Pelodiscus sinensis: one gene and its partner. Each later gene encodes a partner of the first gene's protein in a complex. Links are inferred from orthologs where the notes say so. Each region holds a gene or a part of one and is shown on either strand. Other genes may lie near its edges. The genes, in order: GLI1 and SUFU.

Evidence for each region.
Region 2: the proteins of GLI1 (region 1) and SUFU are in contact, whole or in part, in a crystal structure (PDB 4KMD), measured with the Homo sapiens proteins. The link is inferred for Pelodiscus sinensis from reciprocal best matches to the Homo sapiens genes GLI1 and SUFU. Residues at the interface, in NP_005260.1 of Homo sapiens: Gly119, Ser120, Tyr121, Gly122, His123, Leu124, Ser125, Ile126, Gly127; in NP_057253.2 of Homo sapiens: Leu144, Tyr147, Asn153, Thr154, Phe155, Gly158, Asp159, His160, Val161, Ser162, Trp163, His164, Gln212, Asn265, Leu266, Ser267, Gly268, Val269, Ser270, Ala271, Glu376, Leu380, Lys398.

Annotation. Positions count from the first base shown.
Region 1 is NC_134729.1:2,897,980-2,909,173, reverse strand, and holds the start of GLI1 (zinc finger protein GLI1), read left to right. Parts: upstream 1-6,248; 5' UTR 6,249-7,224; intron 7,225-11,194. UniProt on the Homo sapiens protein: Acts as a transcriptional activator. Binds to the DNA consensus sequence 5'-GACCACCCA-3'. Regulates the transcription of specific genes during normal development.
Region 2 is NC_134718.1:72,979,828-72,990,385, forward strand, and holds the start of SUFU (suppressor of fused homolog), read right to left. Parts: upstream 4,712-10,558; 5' UTR 4,679-4,711; coding exon 4,527-4,678; intron 1-4,526. UniProt on the Homo sapiens protein: Negative regulator in the hedgehog/smoothened signaling pathway. Down-regulates GLI1-mediated transactivation of target genes. Down-regulates GLI2-mediated transactivation of target genes. Part of a corepressor complex that acts on DNA-bound GLI1.

The DNA of each region.
Region 1 (11,194 bases):
GGGCCGCGTTATCTGGGGCCGAACCCTGATCGCTCTCACGGCCTCGTGCCCAGCGCCGCGGGCAAAGGGCGGCTTTCGTCAGCCGGGCAGCCCAGCGCCCGCCGAACATGCGGGGATCAGCTGGGATGGAGCCGCCTTCCCCTCCCCCACCCTGCCTGGGGGGGAAAGGCCAAGCTGCTCTGGAGTGTTATCCCCAGAGCCTCCCGCACTCCTGCCCCGCGGCCCCCGCCCCCCCAGCCCTGCCCCCCCCAGCCCTGCCGGGCCCCTCACTCCCGCCCCGCAGCCCCCGCCCCCCCAGCCCTGCCGGGCCCCTCACTCCCGCCCCACAGCCCCCGCCCCCCCCAGCCTTGCCCCCCCAGCCCTGCCGGGCCCCTCACTCCCACCCCGCAGCCCCTGCCCCCCCCAGCCCTGCCCCCCCCAGCCCTGCCGGGCCCCTCACTCCCGCCCCGCAGCCCCTGCCCCCCCCAGCCCTGCCGGGCCCCTCACTCCCGCCCCGCAGCCCCCGCCCTCCCAGCCCTGCTGGTGCCCCTCACTCCCGCCCCACAGCCCCTGCCCCCCCCAGCCCTGCTGGAACCCCTGGTGTTCAGTAGCACAGGCCTGGAGGTGCCCGGCTGCCTGCGTGCGGCTCAGCGGCTCAGCGACACGCTGACACACTAACCCACCCAGCCTGGTGTGTGCAGCTGGGGGGGGCGTCCTGCCCTTAAGACTTTAATCCACCTTGTCACCTGCTTTCACTTTCTTAAAGGCACAGCCCGAGCTGGGGGGGGGGGGGGCGAAGGAGCAGGATGCTGGGTGTGTGTGTCCGTCCGTCTGTCCCTCCTGCCGTCTGGTCGGGTCTCGCTCTGCCCGAGCCCAGCCTGGACGCAGCAGGAGGCCGTGGGGCGGGGACCAGTTCTGGGGCATTCACAGGAGCAAGGAGCCCCCCGCCCCCGGGAGCCCCATGCACCAGGGGCCCCAGGACGTCTTCCAGCCCCCCAGCCCCGCAGGACCTGGGCCCTTGGGGGCGGAGCCCTCAGGTGCGCATGGAGCTGCAGTCAGAGGGGGCGAGCGCCAAGGACGGAGCAGGAGCCAGCGGTGCCCGAGGCAAACGCTGGGCGCTCGGCTGGGGAGCAGGGGAACAGGGGACACGGTTTTTGCTGGGGCGGGGGGTGGGGGGGGTCACTGATGGAAGTGGTTGAGCTTTTGTGGGGAGGGAAACTCGGTTCTGCCCCCTCCCTGCTGCTGCCCTGCATTGCGGGGGGGGGGGAGGCTGAGCCAGATTCTGGGCCAAGCCTGGCAGGAGGGGGGGGGGTCTGCTCCTGGGTCCAGCTGGCCCCAGGCAGCCCCTGTCACCCATGGAGAGCTTGGACATTGGCCGTGTGCAGCTGCTGCCCTGTGGCTCCCCCCCCCCAGCTCCTGGCAGCGCCCAGGTGTCACCTTGGGGGGCAGGATTGGGCCCACAAGCTCCATGGCTCACAGCAGTGTGTGTGTGTGTGTGTGTGTGTGTGTGTGTGTTTGCACCAACACCTTCGTGGGCAGTGTGTGTGTGCACGTGTGTATGGTGTGTGCACCAACGCCCCCCCATAGGCAGTGTGGGGTGTGTGGGGGGGGAGGGTGTTTGCATTAGTGCCCCCTGCAGAGTCACATTTGCCCAGTCCTGATGCCTTCCACCCCCAGGACAGATGGGCGCTGGGATCCAAATCCCCACCCCCCCACCCCGCCCAGTGCTCATTTCACTGGTGACCACGAGGGGGCGTCTGCACATCACTCCCTGTCAGCCGGGGTAGAGCTGGGAGGGGGACAGGCCGGGCTGGCAGGGGCTGCAGGGTGGGGGTGGGGGGCACCGGCCGGGCTGGGGGAGCCCAGGGCCAGGCTGGCCGGGGCTGCAAGGCGGGGCTGGGGGGCACCGGCCAGGCCGGCTGGGGCTGCAGGCAGAGCGGGGGGTCCACAGGGATTTGCTGCAAACAGACCCCAAATGCAGCAAGCGCTCCTGTCCCACGAGGTTGTGTCCCCCTTGGTCCCGCTCGGCTGGAGGGTCCGGCCCAGGCAGCGGGGCTGGGAGGGGGAGAGCGAGGGGGGGGATCCGGCCCATGCAGCGGGGCTGGGAGGGGGAGGGCAAGTGGGGGGGGGTCTGGCCCAGGCAGAGGGGCTGGGAGGGGAAGGGGGAGGGTGAGTGGAGGGGGGTCTGGCCCAGGCAGCGGGGTTGGGAGGGGGCGAGTGGGGGGGGTCCGGCCCAGGCAGTGGGGCTGGGAGGGGAAGGGGGAGGGTGAGTGGAGGGGGGTCTGGCCCAGGCAGCGGGGTTGGAAGGGGCGAGTGGGGGGGGTCCGGCCCAGACAGCGGGGCTGGGAGGGGGCGAGTGAGGCGGGGTCCGGCCCAGGCAGCGGGGCTGGGAGGGGGCGAGTGGGGGGGGGGTCCAGCCCAGGCAGTGGGGCTGGGAGGGGGCGAGTGAGGGGGGGTCCGGCCCAGGCAGCGGGGTTGGGAGGGGGCAGGCGAGTTGGGGGGGGTCTGGCTCTGGCCCATGATGTCACCCACTGGGCAAAGGCCACGCTCCCCCCCCCCCCCCCTCCCGGCCAGCCCTTTGCCCCGCATTCGGTCGGCAGGGCAACACTCCAATGGGATGGCGGGTGGGGCGGGGCCACCTTGGGCTAAAAATAAACCCCGCGAGGGCGGGTCGTTACCCTGGTGCCCGACTCCTGAGTTCTCTTCCCAGCCCTGCCGGGGCGGGGGGGGGGGGGGAGGTCGCACAGGCCGGCCCAGCTCTGACGCAGACTCTGCCTTGCGTGGCCTCGTCCTGCCTCGGTTTCCCCACCCGGACCTGCCTCAGGCCAGCCCACTCGCCTGGCAGCGGGTCTGGCCCCACGAGGGAGTGAGGTGCTCCCGCTGCCATGGGGGGGGGGCCGGATGGGGCATGGCCCTGTTGCTGGGAACAGCCAGTTCGGCCTTGGCCGCGGGGCAGGTCTGGAGGTGACGGGAAATGCAACCGCCTGCCGGAGTTACCCAAGCGGCAGCTGGCCCCGGATCCCCCCAGCACTGGGAGCCTGGCCCCGGTGCCTGTTTGCTTGCCATGTGGTGCCTCAGGAATCACACCCCCCCCCCCGAGATTCACCCTACGGCCTTCCCGGAGGGCAGCGAGCAAGCAAGACTCGGATTCGGGGGCGGGATTCGGGGGACAGCAGAATTTGGGGTGGGGGGATTTCGCAGGCAGCAAAACTGGGGGTGAGGTTGGGGGGGAGGAGCTGAACTGGAGCTTCCATGCTTCCCCCCAACCCAGGGCCCCCCCCACAGGGAAACGCCCCGAGACAGGCTGTGGGCACGTGTTCCCCCTCCAACCTCCCGGCCCCAAGCTCCTCGCGCTGGCGAAACCACCACCAGTGGGCCGGGCTCTCTTCTCCGGACCAGTGAGGAAGACTCCTCCCCACACTTGCAGCAGCTGGCCAGGAGATGGGGAAACTGAGGCACGGAGGAGGGTGGGCCCCAATGGAGAGTCAGTGCCCCAGTCTTCAGAGCAACACTCCTGCCCCAAGGCCTGGAGCCAGCCCCTCCTTGTCCCCCTCCTTGTCCCCCAGCCGGTGACACGAGGAGCAGGTGAAGGGCAGCCCGATGCCGCTTTACAGCCACGGAAACAAGCTCCCGCAGCCCAGCCCAGCTGTCTGGCCCAAGCGGAGAGCACAGGGCTTGTGCAGATGCATGGGAGGAGGAGACAGATGATTCTCACACACACACACACACACACACACACACACACAGCAGTGGCCATCCTCCAGGGGAGGAAACTGAGGCATGGGGCCCGCGCCCACCCGTGGCAGAGCTGGGAGCAGCCGGCTCTGCTGGGTGAGCTGATGTGGGCACAACCCTCCCCCCCGCCCAAGGCCTGGGGCTTCTCCCCCCACGTGGGAGCAAGCAGGGTGGGGCCTGGGGTCTGGGTTCCCTGCAGGGCTGTTTGGGCCAAGCCCAGCCCTGGATGAGCAGCTAGAATCTGGGACAGAAATGTCCCACGTCACTGAGCTCTCAGGCCCCACCTGGCCTGGTAGCCAGAACTGCTTCTGCCCAGTTGCAGTGTGGAGTGTAGACGGGACCTGGCCTCATTCCCTGACTGAGCGACCATCTGGCCCAATCCAGGGAATCAACCGGGTGCAAGGCCCGGGCTTGCTGCAGCTTCTGCCCACCGATGGAAGCGAGTGGGGTTGGCTAGGCAGCCCCTAAGATTCCCCAGGGCTGCTTGCTGTGTGGGAGGCGCCTGCCTCAGTTTCCCTCTGTAGTGCCAGGCCAGGGTGGGATCCTTTCACAATGCGGCTGCCCTGTGGCAGTTTAGTGGCTGCCTGGCCCCACCCCAGAGGTAGCTGCATGGGCATGGAGCAAGGCCAGGAGAGGAGCAGGGCTGGGGCCACTCTGCACCGGGAATCTCAAGCCCTTTCAACCCTGTTCCCAGCAGGCTTGTGCTGTTAAACCCCAGGCCGTGGAGAGGGGGGGCTGGGGATCCCTGCTATGGGGCACACGGGGGGCCAGGTGTGTTCTCAGGGTCCCCACTCCCCTTCCAGAACGCAGGAGTCCTGGCTCCCAGCCCCCCTGCTCTGACCACTACACCCCACTCTCCTCCCAGAGCCAGGAGAGGTGCCATGTGGGAGGTGGGAGATAACTGGGTGGTGCCATGTGCCTGGAAACCTGCATCAGCCTGAACCTGGGCCTGGCAGGGGAGAGTCTCCCCACTCCGGGAGGGCGAGGGGTCTGGTGGGCGGAGCAGGGGCGGGGGGGGAGCCAGGACTCCTGGGTTCTATTCCCAGCCTGTCCTCCCCCCTCCCGGCTGTTCCGCTTGTACCAGGGCTCGGAGGCTCCTGGTCCCAGCACAGGCCCTGAGGGGCCATGTCCAGTCCATCACCCCCCGGCTGGGGACCCGAACCCCCAGACGGGTGCTGGGGCAGATCGCCCCCACAGCATCCTCTGCCCCCCCCAGCACCCGTAGATGTCCCCCAGTAGGAATCCAGCACCTCCTGCTGGGTGCTGAGAGGGAAGGTGGGCGGGGGGAGCTGGGAGAGTGAGGGGCAGAAGAACCCTGGGGGGGGTGTGGGGAACTCAGGGGAACCCTATGGGGGGGCTGTTGGGAGCTGGGGTTGAACCATGAGAAGGGGGGGTGAGTTCTGGGGGAGAACTGGGCTCCATGGGGAAGGGAGGCCAGCCTGGCCCAGCTGTACCAGAGCCCAGAGTGGCAGGTGGGGCCCCCTCGGCTCTGCGCATCTGCCCCCCCCCACGGGCCATGAGGTGGCATCGCCCCAGTGTGACATCACGGGGGGAGGTGGCAGCAGTGAGACATCATGGCGGCCTGGCACGGTCACAGTCTGGCACCGTAACACGACCTTGCCGGCATGACATCATGATGTGCTGCCTTGGCCACGCCCCCTCGCCGTGTGACATCACAGCTCAGGGGCTCTGACATCATGGGGGCCCTGTGAGGTCAGCACCCTGCGACCCAGGGAGGATTCGTGGCTCTGCCACGCACGGGCGCTCGGAGCCCTGCCGGGCACAACCCGGAGCCGGCTCACATCTGTCAGACTGACAGCCGAGAAAAGGGGATTCTCACCCCCCCCCGAGACTCCCCAAAGACACCCCCTTGCCAGCAGCCCCAGTGAGGGAAGGGCTCCCGGCGAAGGGGCCTGCGGATGACAACTCATTGGCACTGCTGGGGGTGGGCAGGGAAAATCCCATGTGTTGCTCCCACACCGGGAATGCCTCCCCGCACCTCCCGAAAATTTGCCATCTCTTTGGAAAACCTCATCCCCTGGAGATGTTTCCTTCCAGGCCCTGAGCTTGAGACCCCCTCGCTGGGGACGCAGGCCCCTCTTACGCTCACCCCACACCCTGAGCCGCGACATTTGGGGGGTCGTTTGAGAGCACCCAGTCCTTGGAGAGCTGGCTCCAAGCCACGGCTCCTGCTAACTCCCCCCAGGGCTCCGGAGTGGGGAGAAGTCCCCCACCCCGTTTGCCCCAGCCCCGTGGACTCGGAGGCAGCGCCCTTGCAAGCAGCTGCCCAAGATCGCGGTACCACCCACGTTCGTCCTGCCTGCCCCCCCAGTCCCTCGCCGTGACTCTGCATCGGTGGCCCTGCCTCCCACCCCGGCCCCTCCAGGCCCAGAACTTCGATGTGAACTCCTCCCCTCTTGTACAGCCCCTGAGAGCCGGATGGGTCCAGACCACAGCCCCAAGGGCCACAAACGGAGGCCGAGCAGGCAGAGAGCATGAAAAAGCGCCCACCCGAAATGATGCCTGGATGGGGCAAGTTGGGAGTTTGCAGCCGGATTTGGCTGCCTGTTGGTGTGAGTGTGTGTGTGTGTATACATGTGTGCGCGTACATACTGTGTGCGCGTGCGTGTGTTTGTGTGTGTATACGTACTGTGCGCGTGCGTGTGTGTATACGTACTGTGCGTGTGTTTGCACGCTCTGTGTGTGTGTATGTGTGTGCGCGCACGCTCAGTGTGTGTGTCTTTGCAGGCTCTGTGTGTGCATGTGTGTTAGTGTGTGCACTGATCCATCCCAGGTTTTCAAAGTGTCTCTGAAATTGTAGACAGCATGCTGTGTGAATTCAGTTGTAGGGTCTTCCCTCACACCGCCTCACACAGTGCACAACCCTCCTCCACCCTCAGCCTTCAAAGTTTTTCTTAAAAAAAAAAAAAAAAAAGCTTCGAAAAACTGCTCCACAACTTGAAAGGGGCAAGAAGGAGAAAAAATTTTTTTTGTGTCTTTCCTGACACTTCCCCCAAAGCCCCAGCGCAGCATCAAAGCCGAGCAGCGTAACGCTGAGTCGCTCTCCCATGTGGAAAGACTCAAGAAATCATCAGGAAAGTTTCTTAAAGAAAAACAAAACTTCCTTCTCCAAGGTGGTCCCGGGCTGCAGTCTGAGAATGGAATATTTATAACCCGGCCTGCGTCGGGCAGATGGGACAAAAAGCACATTTTTTAACCATTTTTTTTCCTTCGAGTGGATTTCCAGGGAAAAGACAGAAACGAAAGATGGGGAAAGTTTTGTGACGGGGAAGGCTCGCAGGCTCCGTGGCTGCCGGTTTGGGTTTGCTGGTTTAATCCTTTCGCTGGATGTTACATTTTTCTCCGGGAAAGAAGCCAAGTCCCCCGAAAAGTGGAGTTCCAGCCTCAAGGCACCAAAGCGAGCGATTTTGGGGGAGAAAACACTGAAAAGGAAAAGAAAAGGGTCCTTCCTTTGGATCGTGAGTCACTATCCCGTTCCAGCTCCCAAAGGTACGATTCATTTTTTTAGAATCACTTTTTCTTTTATAAAATGTTAACTACAATTCTGAGGGGAGCAGGAATTTTGCCCAGTATTGTGGTTTCTGGTTCCAGGGGATTGTTTTGCTTTTAGGACACTTTGTCTCAGGACCTGCCGGAAGGATTTTAATTTTGGGGGTTTTTTTCAACCACACAAACCTTGCGAAAGGCTTGATCCTTTTTGGCCGCGGCGAGATGCGTAAGTAGCTATTCCGTGACTCCAGACTTCGGTGCCCACAGGCAAAGCGCAACTGTAGCTAGTTGGCTTCGAATTCCTATGTGCCCCATGGCCAACAAAACCCAGCTGACTTGACAGTAAATTTCCCTTCGTCCAAGTTTAATTTGCAAAGTTTCCAAGTCGCTTTTTTCTCCTCTCCCTTCCTCTCCTTTTGGCAATGCAATCCAGGAGGCTCCCGACGTCTGGACTCAGATCAGGTCCAATGAACCCAGCCGGGAGTGTGTGTGTGGGGTGGGGGGCACGGCCAATTACTTTGCCAAACTGGAATTTGCGGGGGTGCTTTCCTGGGCTGCGGAGACACACGCAGGCCTGGTGGCTGGGCCGCGATCGCCCAAGGAGATGCGGCCGGCTGGTGCGAGGCAGAGCCTGGGGCGGGCGGGCGGGGTGGACGCCGGTACCGGGACAGACCAGGTGGAGGAGAGGGAGGGTGGAGACTCCAGGGACAGGTGCAGCCTCAAGGTGAATGCAAAGGGCGGGCTGCTCCCTTGGGGTATCTGTGGAGGGGCGGGGAGGGCCCCGCAGGCCAGGAGGAGGGAGCCGGGGGGCGGATGCTGCTGAGGCCCCGAGAGCAGGGGATGCCCCCCAGCCGGGGTTGTGGATCTGGGGGGAAGGAGGCGATGGGGCTGGGTGATAAGTGGGCACCTGGAGCAGCCCGTCTGTGGCTGCTGGGAATCCCCGGCGTGCCGGCTGCCCCCCCCCCCAGAGCCCCCGGCCGTGCCAGGAACACCTGGGCCAGCCCCTGCCCCTCCGCGGTGCCAGGCCCATCTCCAGCGCGGCGGCCGGGGCCTGACCTCGCCGGGCAGAGGGAGCCGGAGCCGGCCCGGGCGCGGTCCCGCCGCACCCCTGGTCCCTTGGCCGGCTGCCGGGCAGCGTTGGCAGGGCCCGTTCAGGGCGAGGCTGCAGCTTTCACACTCCCCAGAGGAGCGTCCCAGAAGCCACCGGGAATCAAACCCGGGGGCCGGGAGAGGCCAGTGGCTGCCCCACCCGGGGAATCCTCGGCCCAGCCCAGGGGCCCTGAGCTGCACGCTGCCGCGTCAGCAGTTCCTGGGCTTGCCACAGAGATGTTCAGGGCTGGGTGGGAAGGGAGAGCCCCTCCGTGGCGGGGGGCTCGGCAGGAGGTGCCTGGTGGTAACACCTGGAGGTGCCGACGGGCCGGGTGCTGCAAAGACCCGACCCCAGATCAGGGCCCTGCCCGGCTGCATGGACCCGACTCGAAATCATGGACCCGACCAGAGAGCAGAGCCCGCCAGGCTGCATGGACCCCAGATCTCTACCTACAAACTCTGCCCGAGAGTCTCGGCCTTTCGGGGGCTCACGCACCACGGCCCATTGAGCCCTCGGTCTCCGCTGAGCCTGCCGGCTCGGTGCCCGGGGTGCGGGTGGCTTTTCCAAGCAGACCCCCCCGTTAGGAGCCACAGGGGCCCAGCGGGCGCAGTGCAGGAGGGCAGCCAGTTCTGCTCACATCCCTGGGCCGCGGCTGAGGCCCAAAGCCGGGTGCTGACGCGGGGGCACCGCATCGGCTTGGAAACAGCTTGAAATTCAGCCCTGTAGACAAAGCCCCGGTTCAGCCAGCGCGCGGGCTCCGAGCTGCAGCCCTGAGAAGCGGTTTGCTCCCAGGGAGAGCGTGCATTCGCGTCCCTGAATACCCCCTGGCCCCCGCTCGGCCCGGCTCCCTGGGCGTCTCCGTCGCTCTCTGGGCCCCATTTTCAGGGGCCACACATGGGCCCTGCACTCGGCCACGCCCCGTGGCCCGAAGGGTGCATCCTATGGTGCCAGGAGCCAGCGGGGCCTGGCCCAGCTCTGCAGCGCCGGGGCCGTGCGAGGCTCCGGGGTCACTAGGCAGGGACTGGTTTTGAAGGTTAAATATCAATTTACATCAAGCGCATTGTTTGCCCCTGGGCCCCCCAGGGCTGTTCTGGGACTGCTGGGTGGCCAGGGGCCGGGAGCCAGGGCCCTGTTCCTGCCTTCACCGCTGATTCCGGCTGGGTCCCTTGGCCCCTCTGCGGCTCTGGGGCGGTGACATTGCAGCTACGACTCCCTGTCTCCCAGGCTGTAAATTGTTGGGCGTCTCTGGCTGCCAAAGCAGCGGGTGCCAGGCCAGGGCGGAGGGGCAGGGGCTAAGTGAGGCAGTGCCAGGACTGGCGGAGAGGCAGGGTGAGCAGGCGGCAGGGCAGGGGTCGGGGCGGACGCAGGGCAGGCCCTGGGATACAAGTGGCCTCGGTGACGGGTACAGCCCTTCCGCCTGTTTGTTGATTTGTGCGACTGACTCCATGTGACGCTCGGTCCCCGCCCAGCGCCGGCTCCTGTCGGCTCCGGGGCAGCTGGGCACGGTACCCCTGGCCAGACGGGGGCCGCAGCTCTAAAGCTGCGGGGGAGGCTGCCTCGCATCCCGGCTTTTCTCGGGCCCGTCCCGGACGCTCGCCCGCTCTCAGCGTGGCTTCTGGTCTATGGGTCATGTGGGTGGGGGATTTCAGTCCCCCACTTGGGGGCTGTGGATCAGGGGTGAGGGGCACCGGCAGGGCTGGGGGGTCAGGGGCTGGAGGTTGGGGGTGAGGGGTGCCGGCAGGGCTGGGGGGCTGCGGGTCGGCAGTGAGGGGCACCGGCCAGGCTAGGGGGCCGGGCTGGGGGGCTGGCAGAGGCTGCAGGTGAGGGGTTCCGGCACAGCTGGCTGGAGCTTGGCTGCAGTGCGGCACAGGGAGCCGGGCGAGGCTGCCCGCTGCAGAGAAGCCTCCGTCCCATGCAGTGAGTCATTGGACACCTTGCAACATGTCGGGGCCCTGGGGTGGGGAGGGCGAGGCTGGAAGCTGGAGCCGAGCCCACAGCTGGAGACTCCCGTAACTCGAGGCCCGCTGGGGGGGGGGGGGGACACCCCGCACCTGGTGGCACCTGGGTGACCTTTTGCATTCAAAGGGGGCCAGCTCCATTGTGCTGTGGGCTGCTAGCTTACAGCCCCCCTCAGCCCCTCGCCTGCCCTGTTCTGCTCACACGAGGCCTCACCCGGCCCCCCCGCCTGCCGCGTCTCCCCCGGCCTGTGCCACCGCCCAGCTGGCTTTATGGGTGTCTTCGCCCAGCCCCCGTTGGGGCAGCCGGGACGCCCGGGTTCTGCTGCTCACTCGGACGCGCAGCGTGTCTGTGGGTCCGAAACCACCACCTCGCCCTGCCTCAGTTTCCCCAGTGCCGGCAGGCTGCAGCGATGGCGCCAGACGGCTGGCAAGGCTCCGTGGGGAAGGCGAGGGGCTGCAGAGCCCCCCCGTAGGGCTCCCAGTGAAGTTGTGTCTCCGCTTTGCCTCCCAGCAGCCCCTCCCACCCTGCCAAAGCTGCAGAGAAACCAGGGTGCAGCTGCCAGGAGCAGGAAGAGGCAGAAACAGCTGGGGATGAGGAGTTAGGGGGAGTTTGGGGCTGCCCCTCTGTCCCCTGGATCTCAACACACCGCCCAGTTATGGGGCGTGCTGGAGCCGAGCTGTGCGGGTGGGGCCAGTTTTCTGCAGGCTCGCTGCTACACGGTGAGTGGCTTGGGGTATGGCCGGGAGGCTGGGCTCCAGGCGAGGTGTTTTCTATTTCTTGTCCCCTTCTGCAGCGGCTGAGGGGGGAACTGCCGACAGGGGAGCATCCTGCCCCAAAGTCGGAGGGGTTTGATCCCTTTCCCAGGCTCGCATCTGCCCAGCACCACACGGTCCTTCCCCATCCTCCGCGGCAGCCCCGCTG
Region 2 (10,558 bases), on another chromosome or scaffold:
AATGACTTAAAAACATATCCCACAGCATGAAGTTACCCATGAGAACTGGCTGCATTGTGAGTTCTCAACCTTTTTCTTTCTGAGACCCCCAACATGCTATAAAAACTCCATGGCCCACCTGTACCACAACAGGTTTTCAGGTTTTCTGCATATAAGAGCCAGGAGGCGTGTTAAGGACTAGCAAGCACAGGAACTGCCCAGGGCCTCAGCAAACTACAATGCTCAGGCTTTGGCTTCAGCCCCGAATGGCTCAGGGCCCTGGAATTCAGGCCCACATGGTGAAGCTTTGATTTTCACCCCTGGGCCCCAGCGAGTCTAATGTTGGCCTTGCTTGGTGGACCTCCTGAAACCTGCTCATAGTCCTCCACCTTTCCATGGCCTCATACCCCTGGCAGAGAACCCCTGGCAAAGTGGAACACTACTTACAGTCAGGACATATCAACTAGCAGACTACTTAATACAATAATCCATTTTACATAAAATGGAATGTGCAGACTTTTTTTTTTTTTTTTACACACTGTTGACACTCTGACAAGGTTAGTGGACTCATTAGCAATCTGCAGTCACATCTGGCTGTGCAGAAAGAAAGGTAACTCCACGTCAGTATGAGAAAATGTGCCAAGCTATTTCCCCTGCTATTCGTACTGTCTATACAGACAACAGAAAGGACAGATGAAAACAAGAAGACACAAGATGTCAGCCATGTTTATGGAACATAGCAAGTGGCTGTTTAACTGCTTCCGGTATGACCTGCTTTCTGGTCAAAACAAAAATACTCTATTATGCAAAACAAATGTAAAAAGACCCAAACAAAAAAGCCATGGAACTAAAATGGCTGCACCCCCCACCCTTTTATATGCTGTTTGGTCAGGCCCCGTTGCTATAATTTGTGGCTCCTCAGTGGTATCTCAGGACCCTAGACTTTAACTTCATCAGGACAGAGGCCTGTCTGTATGACACTTAATTCCACTCTTCATGCTACCCAAATAATCCACCAGAACTGCCCATATCTCGCAGAAATCTCTGCACCCTCATTACTTTTTAGCCTTCCAAATACCTCTTCAAATACTATTCTCGGCAGGAGTTCGCTACAATGCGCACTTTGCAACTGCACTGTAATCTTCATTTCTCTGTATAAAGGTTCAGACACAAAATTGTGATAAATGGAAGTGTTTGGAATGTTTTTAGAACAAGTAGAACTTCTGAAAGTTAAATTTTCAGCATGGGATATACATGTTTTATACCATGGTCAACTGGATAGGGGATGTTAGCAATAAGGCTAGTCACAGGGAAAACTATACTTGCACGAAGAATTCCCCACTGAGCTGACCAATGTTAAACTTCCTGTGCTTCTGTCATGGAGGAAGACCTGAGCAAGTGTTCAGCTTTACCCTCCTAATGGATGATTAGTGAAAAGAGGTAACGTGATAATTCCATTTTTAATGAATGTAACAGCACTATTACAAAAATGCCTTGACACAATAAAATGTGACAGGAAACAAAGCGGTGAAAGAACAAGGATGAAACAGCTCAATTCCACAAATTTTGAAAACTTTTCTATCAAAGTAAGGAATATAACAATGCTGGTCTATTGCTTGCAATTTTTTGTCATGAAGGAATTTTACTTCAGGAGCTCTTATTAAGAAAGGTGGTTAAATATAATAATCTGAAGATTACAAAGAAGTTTCCACACACATAGACACAGGAGTGCTTCCAAAAGCTCCAAAAGCTTTCTGAATTAATTTCCAAAAATATACAAATGAAACATGTTAAAAGAATACATGTGATACATGAAATATTTTTCATTCTTCAGTTTTTTTCCCCCTCAAAAGGTATGCAGTTTACTTGGTTTTGCTGCATGTTTACATAGATACTTGCCTTGTTTTGCAAGCCAGAGAACCCTTTTAACACTGCAATATCCTGTAAATCACAACTTTTTTTTTTTTAAGAGACTGGTTACGTATAATTAAAAATGGATTAGAGTTGTATTATTATCCCTGAGGGACTGAGCTCTGTTCAGCTATTTCCTCTTTGAATCTAAACTAGTGATACTCTGGAACTCAGTGGTTCAGGAGCCAAATTATCAATCAACATTACCCAAAAGTGCCACAGTACTGTGAACTGTCTCTCATAAATAAATAACATTTATTATAGTACAAGTCACACAACAAAATGACCAAATTTTATCAACTACAATTGGTTAACAACATCGCAAAAGCATTCTGATTGGTTAATAACTTAGGCTGGTTAATAATTAAATCACACAGTGCTTTAATAGCACGTGCACATTAGAGAGCCACTTGCAGCTCACGAGACTCATTCTGACAATCACTGATCTAAACCATTCTAATTGCTTGCAGCCCGGAAGAATGAGGACAGAAGACAACCACACAGGAAAGTGTGAACAACAATGAATTCAGCAAATATTTTACAAATGTTTAAAGACTCTGATAGACTTTATAACACTATGTCAACACTAGACCTGTTGCTAAAATTTCCTCTGGGTAGCAGCTGCAGTATATACTGACTGTGCTAGACATGCTGCCACTGGTATGACCACCAATTAAAATGCACAGGAGGTAACAATGGTGATAAACATTAGAGCTAAGGCCTAAGATCTGACCACAGAAAAACAGTATTATCCCTACCACTAGCGCCTTTTTCAGGATCTAGGACATGAGTGTACATCTCTCAACCGATTAGCACCGTAGGAGATACTCAGAGCTATTTATTCCTAAAATCCAAAGAGGACTTTATCATAATCATTATAGACCCAATTCTACCTTCATATCACACAAATCTTGTCTCATTCCAGTTGACATGGACATAAACTGTTGACAGAAGAGAAAGCACTTGAATGCCTAAAGGCAGACATCTAAATCTCTATTGCTGTAGCGATTTGATCAACCCACTTTGGTACCAAATCTGTGCAGTGTTAGCCTGCACTCAGACAAAATTCAACCATTTACTTTTCAAGCTTCCCTAGATATTTAGCAATTAGGTCTAGATCCCAGATTTGTATTAGCAGCCAACAAACCAGAAGAATCCGCCTTCCTCATCCAAAAAGCACTGGTCTAGATTCTCACAAGAGCAGTGCATCTTTGCAAGGATGCCTGGATTCATCAGTGACCAGCCCAGGAACAACTACTTTTCTACTTCTGCCTAACCAGAAGCAGACCTGATGAAATTAAAGGGAAAACACCAAAGCATGCAGAGCCTTAACTAAAGTTTTCCAAAGCACCAGAAAAGCTTTTGTGGGGTAAAAAAAAAAAAAAAAAAAAAAAACAACCCCTAATCCTGCACTGGCCAGGATACCCCAATGCTGAGTTTCACCCTGCGGACCTCCAGCTATCCACAGAAAACAGACCGGACTGGGCTCTAGTGGCTCCCAAGGAGGGCAGATACAAATAAAGAGCAAGAGTAGATCTGCCAAATTGATTCCGCTCAGAACAATGTACCTGCCCCCACAGGACCCCCCCATCCTTACCCACAGATGGAGTCAACCCTCCCCACTCAGGGAGCCCCTCCCGGTCCAGGCGAATGCCACAGGGAGCCCCACACAAGAGCCCTTAGCCTGCCCCACACAGGGAGCCCCTCCTTAGCCTACCTCACCAGGAAGCCCCCCCACAGGGACCCTCCCTTAGATCGCCTGCCTCACAGGGAGCCCCCCTCAGAGAGACGCCCCTTAGCCCGTCCCCCCAGGGAGCCCCCCCATAGCTCACCCACCACAGGGAGCCCCCCTCAGAGAGATGCCCCTTAGCCCGTCCCCCCAGGGAGCCCCCCCCATAGCTCACCCACCACAGGGAGCCCCCCTCAGAGAGATGCCCCTTAGCCCGTCCCCCCAGGAAGCCCCCCCATAGCTCACCCACCACAGGGAGCCCCCCTCAGAGAGACGCCCCTTAGCCCGTCCCCCCAGGGAGCCCCCCCATAGCTCACCCACCACAGGGAGCCCCCCTCAGAGAGACGCCCCTTAGCCCGTCCCCCCAGGGAGCCCCCCCATAGCTCACCCACCACAGGGAGCCCCCCTCAGAGAGACGCCCCTTAGCCCGTCCCCCCAGGGAGCCCCCCCATAGCTCACCCACCACAGGGAGCCCCCCTCAGAGAGACGCCCCTTAGCCCGTCCCCCCAGGGAGCCCCCCCATAGCTCACCCACCACAGGGAGCCCCCCTCAGAGAGACGCCCCTTAGCCCGTCCCCCCAGGGAGCCCCCCCATAGCTCACCCACCACAGGGAGCCCCCCTCAGAGAGATGCCCCTTAGCCCGTCCCCCCAGGAAGCCCCCCCATAGCTCACCCACCACAGGGAGCCCCCCTCAGAGAGATGCCCCTTAGCCCGTCCCCCCAGGGAGCCCCCCCATAGCTCACCCACCACAGGGAGCCCCCCCTCATCACTCCCCCCCAGGAAGCCCCCCCTCAGCCCACCCCCCATCACTCCCCCCCTGGGAGCCCCCCCTCAGCCCACCCCCCCTCACTCCCCCCCCCGGGAGTCCCCCCCCAGCCCACCCCCCCTCACTCCCCCCCCCGCTCACCAGTACTTGAGGATGGCGGTGACCTGCAGCGGGTTGGGCTGCTCGGGGTAGAGGCGGCGGCACGCGCCGTAGATGCCGTGCAGCCCCGGGGGGAAGAGCGCGGGGAAGGAGCCGGGCCCGGGGGGGGCCCCGCCAGGCCTCGCGCCCTCCATGGGCCCGCGCTCCGGGGGGGGGGGCGCTGTGCGGCTGCGGGGGGGGGAGGGGCGGAAGCGGCCCGCGGGCCCAGGCGGCTGCTCCGGCTCCGCGCGCACCCGGCCCAGGCGGCTCCGTCCGCCGGCGGCTGCCCAGGAGGCGGGCCCGGCTGCCCGCGCCGTGACGGGCGGGCGGCTCCGCCAATCGCGGCGCAGGAGGCGCCCGGCCCGGCGGAGAGGCGCGCGCGCGCCCCCTGGCGGCGGCGGCCTGCGGCTGCAGCAGCCCGCGGAGGAGGGGGAGGGGGCGCTGGGGGAGCCCCGTGGAGAAGTCCCATGCAGAGGAGAACGGGCCCTATAGGGGGGCAGAGGGCAGGGGCGGGAGCTGGGGGGCCTGTAGGGGTGAGCAGAGGAAGGGGGAAGCTATGGGGCAGGGAGAAGGCCCTGTGCTGTTAATAGGGCCCTTGGATGCTTCGTGCAGTCCTGGGCCAGTGGTGGGCAACGTGCAGCCCGCTGGGACCTCACCTGCAGCCCACAGACCCCGTCTGCTCTCCTCCCCCCCCCCCCCCGCGCCAGCACACCGGAGCCCCACACTTCCAACTCCTCCCCCCCCCCCCCGCGCCAGCACACCGGAGCCCCACACTTCCAACTCCTCCCCGTCCCTCCTGCGCTTTCGGAGCACGCGACTCCCCTGATCCGTGCTACACCCCAGCTCCTCCTGCCCCCTCCCAGAGCTGGAATGCCACAAATCAGCTGATTCATAGTGTTCCAGATCTGGAGGGGGGTGGGAGGGGAATAGCAGCCAGCGCCTCCTCCCCCCTGCTGCCTCTGTCTCAGAGGCGGCAGGGGTAGGAGGGAGCTGATCCGCACAGGGAGCTGGCTTTTAAGCCGTTTCCGTGCACTGACTCCCACGGAGCTGCCTGCCCCCCCATGTAAATGTGTAACCACTGAAAATGTCACAATCTAGTCAGCCAAGACACTCAGACCTGCAGAGGAGCTCTCTGTACAGGCTCACTGACAGGGTGGGGCAAAGGGGGCAATTACCCCAGTGCCCGGGGCTCTCAGCCACCTCTGCTACTGCAGAAGTGGCGCTTGGAGCCCCAGGCCTTTTCAATTGCCGCCAGAGCCCTGCATGGCATGTTCCGGGCAGCTCTTAGGGCCGGGGAAAGGGTCCAACGTAGTGCCCTCTGGGGGAGGTGCTGAGAGCTGGCTGCCCTCAGCCCCACCCTTTCCACCTAAGGCCGCACCCCTTTCAGGAGTAAGCAGCCGGCCCCCCTCACCTTTCCCAAGGGCCCAACATGACTGTCAGTTCCTCTGTCTATGTAGCTTCAAAGGCTTGTCTCTTCACTAACAGAAGTTCATTCAACTTCAATACAAAGATATTACCTCACCCCCATTCCGCCCCCCCCCCAACTTTCACATCTCCTGGGACCAACACAGCTGCAGCCTGTGTTCCCTCTAATGTTTTACATGCCTGTGTAGAATGAATGTTGTTACGTGCACCACTATGGAGGTGACATGTGGACGGGGGGGGGGGGGCGCTAAGGGGGTCAGGACTGTGGCAGAGGGGGTGAGCGTTCTAGCTGGGGGTGAAAGGTCTAGGATGGAGCCAGGAATAAGGGATACAGGATGCAGGCTGCCTCAGCATTATAGCAGGGAAAACAGAATTCCCCTCAGCCCTCTCTCACTGCAGCAGCTCAGGGCGAGGTAAAAGGCACCTCTCCTCAGCTGCAAGGGGCCCCTCCCTCTCCTTGGCTACAGTAGCTTCAACACCGCAGGGATGCTTCTTCCCATCTGTGAGGTCCTAAATAGCCTGCTGCACTGCTGCACAACTTACAGGGAACTTAGTCTACAGCAACACTACAAATTACATTTATTAAGATAAATAACTGAGTGGAGATTAGCTTTACTGGGATAAATGGAAAGGTCAGCACAGAAGTGCTCACTGTGTGAATGAGACAGAGTGGATCCAATGACCCAGTGCTTAAACACTCTTCATGCACACTGATTACAATTAACTGAAAGCAGCACTCACAAAAAGGACTCTCATTTTGCACAGATGACTATAACTTTCTGCTCAGTGCCAGCAGCAAACAATCAGAATGTTAATAGGATGGATAAAGAATGAATCAATATTAGTACAGTAGCACCTAAAAGCTAAACTCTGAAATGTTTGTAACTCTGAATAAAATATTATGATTATACTTTCAAAAGTTTACAACTGAACTTTGACTTAATACAGCTCTGAAACTCTACTATATAGAAGAAAAATGCTACTTATGGCCATCTTAATTTAAAGGAAACAAGCCCAGAAATAGTTCCCTTTAGTAGTTTACATTTAACACACTGAACTGTATTGGCTTCTTTTTATTTTGGTCTCTGGCGTGGTCTGAGTGCATACTTCTAGTTCCAAAGGAGGTGGTGTGGTTGGCTGGTCAGTACATATCTCTGAGGTTTTAATCCTGAAGTTCTACTGGATTGAAAATATTAGAATGGCATTACAAAAAGAAAATACACCATCACATGGATTATTCAGTCAGTCACCTCAAAGACCATAGAAGAAATTGATGGGGCTCAAAGAGTGATGGAAAACTGATTAAATATAGTAGTAGAAATGTAGCCGTGTTAGTCCGGTGCAGCTGAAACAAAAAACAGGACTGTGTAGCACTTTAAAGACTAACAAGATGGTTTAATAAGTGATGAGCTTTCGTGGGCCAGACCCACTTCCTCAGATCAATTTTCTTCCACTATTTGATCTGAGGACGTGGGTCTGGCCCACGAAAGCTCATCACTTAATAAACCATCTTGTTAGTCTTTAAAGTGCTACAGCGTCCTGTTTTTTGATTAAATATAGAGAGAGATGAAAAAACTTGGGCTACTTACCAGGGATATGATGGATGAATAATAAATCAAATAATAATAATTATATACAAAAGGGAGATTAACCACTGTCATTTCCTCTCTCTCCTAACAGAGACATACAGAGAAGCACTTAATTTGAAAGACAACAAATTGAAAATTGAAAGATTTCCCCTCCTCCCTCATGAACTATTTATTAATCCATGGAAATTATTACTACAAGGTATCACTGAGGTAGAGTTTAGCAGCATTCCAAGTTAAAGAGCTTCAGGGGTATCCAAGTTAGCTGTTACAGGATAAACTTAAAAAACAACAGATAGTCTGGTAGCACTTTAAAGACTAACAAAACATGTGGATGGTATTATGAGCTTTCCTGGGTGGGCTGTATCCAGGAAAGCTCATGATACCATCTACATGTTTTGTTAGTCTTTAAAGTGCTACCAGACTATTTGTTGTTTTTTAAGTTATTCCAAGGTTAGTCATTAAGATGGGTAATGAAAACATCCATAAACCACATTAGCCTGCAAAACAAGGCTTCACTTGTTTTTTATTTAAATTAGGGATATAGTCACTCATCCTTAGGGGAAAAATTATTAATGACTGATAGGCTTAGTGAGACACTTTCCCACAGAGTGGCTGTGTCTAGACTGGCCAGTTTTTCCGGAAAATCAGCCGTTTTTCCGGAAAAACTTGCCAGCTGTCTACACTGGCCACTTGAATTTCCGCAAAAGCACTGACTTCCTACTGTAAGAAATCAGTGCTTCTTGTGGAAATACTACGCTGCTCCCGTTCAGGCAAAAGTCCCTTTCGCACAAAGCTTTTGCGCAAAAGGGCCAGTGTAGGCAGCTCAGATTTGTTTTCCGCAAAAAAGCCCTGATCGTGAAAATGGCGATCGGGGCTTTTTTGTGGAAAAGCGCGTCTAGATTGGCATGGACGCTTTTCCGCAAAAAGTGCTTTTGTGGAAAAGCGTCCATGCCAATCTAGACACTCTGTTCCAAAAATGCTTTTAACGGAAAACTTTTCTGTTAAAAGCATTTCCGGAAAATCATGCCAGTCTAGACGCAGCCAGTAGGTAATTTCATCATAGTTCATTACAGGCTGTGATTTTTTAAACCTTCCTCTGCAGCAGCTGGTACTAGTCAGTGATAGAGAGAATTTCTGGTTAGATGAATCATTGCTTTGATTTAGTATGGTCATTGCCATATTCTCGTAAAGAAAACCTGCAGAGGAACAAAAATACTGGCTCTGTGCTTCACCAATACACTAACATTTTTTGAGGGTCATCAACAAGCATGTAGCCGCAGGGAGCCGGTGGCTGTAGTGCACTTGGTTTTCCAGAAAGCCTTTGACCAGGTCTTTCTTCAAAGGTTCTTAAGTGACGTAAGCTGTTATGGGAGAAGGAAGGTCATTTCATGGACGGGTAACTGGTTAAAAATAGGAAACGAAAAGTAGGAAAAAATGGTCAGTTTTCAGAATGGAGGGAGGTAACTAGTTGTGTCCTGTATAAGGATGTCAAATCCTAGTTAATTAGTTCACTGGTTAAACGTTAGGGGGAGAGGCTGGGTCTGGAGCTGCTGCTGGCTCCTAGTTCCCAGCCCCTGTCTGTGGCAGGCCTGGGCTCCCCGTAAACAGAGACTGTTCCACGGGAGCAGAGCCTGCCTGTGGGGCACCAGGGACCACCCTGGACAGGAGCTGCTCCAGACAAAAACAGCCCCTTTCTGCAGTGGGCCCTCTGTGCCCACAGCATGCAGGGAGCTGCTCCAGCCACTGGTTACTGGAAACAGCAAGCATTATCCATTTGGGGTGACGTTTACTGGCTAACCTTTCACACCCCTAGTCCCCCAGGAGTCTGTACTGGGACCAAGCACATTCAACAGATTCATAAAAAATTTGGAGAAAGGGGTAAACAGTGAGGTGGAAAAATTTGCAGGTGATACAAAAGTGCTCAAGATAGTTAAGTTCAAAGCAGACTGTGAAGAGCTTCCCAAGGATCTCACTAAACTAGAGCAACAAAAATAGCAGATGAATTGTGATGCTGATAAAGACAAAGTAATGCACATTGGAAAACAATACCAACTACACGTATAAAATGATGGGGTCTAAATTAGCTGTTTCTCTTAGGCTACGTCTAGACTGGCATGATTTTCCGGAAATGCTTTTAATGGAAAACTTTTCCGTTAAAAGCATTTTCAGAACAGAGCGTCTAGATTGGCCCGGACACTTTTCCGCAAAAGCACTTTTTGCGGAAAAGCATCCGTGCCAATCTAGATTTGTTTTCCACAAAAAAGCCCCGATTGCCATTTTCGCAATCAGGGCTTTTTTGTGGAAAACAAATCTGAGCTGTCTACACTGACACTTTTGCACAAAAGGACTCTTGCCCGAACAGGATCAGCACAGTATTTCCGCAAGAACATTGACAATCTTACATGAGATCGTCAGTGCTTTTGCGGAAATTCAAGCGGCCAGTGTAGACAGCTGGCAAGTTTTTCCGGAAAAGCGGCTGATTTTCCGGAAAAACTGACCAGTCTAGACACAGCCTTAGGGTTTCCAGGAATCTAGTACTGACCCAGACAGTCCAATATTTTCACCTCCTGTCCGGTAAACAAAGTCAGAAAATACCAGATACCTAAAATGTCCAGTATTTTCTGATTTCTTCCCAGCCAGGAGGTGAAAATCCTGGGTGCCTACGTGGTGCCGCAGGGGAGCTGTCTGGCCTGAAGCAGGAAGACAAGATGGCAGCCGGCAGCATGTTAGGGCCAAAAACGCTCAAAAGCATTTCTTAAAGGGGCCATGCTGGTCTCCCCCCCTTTTTTTTCCTCAACAGAATTTTTTCCCAGATTTTTTTTTTTTTGAGGGAAGGGGGTGTTCGGTATTTTTGGTTAAACCATCTGGCAACCCTAGTTTCCCCTCAAGAGAGAGATCTTGGAGTCATTGTGGATAGTTCTCTGAAAACATCCACTCCGTGTGCAGTGGCAGGCACAAAAGCAAACAGCATGTTGGGACGCACTAAGGGCTAGAGAATAAGACAGAGAATATCATCTCGCT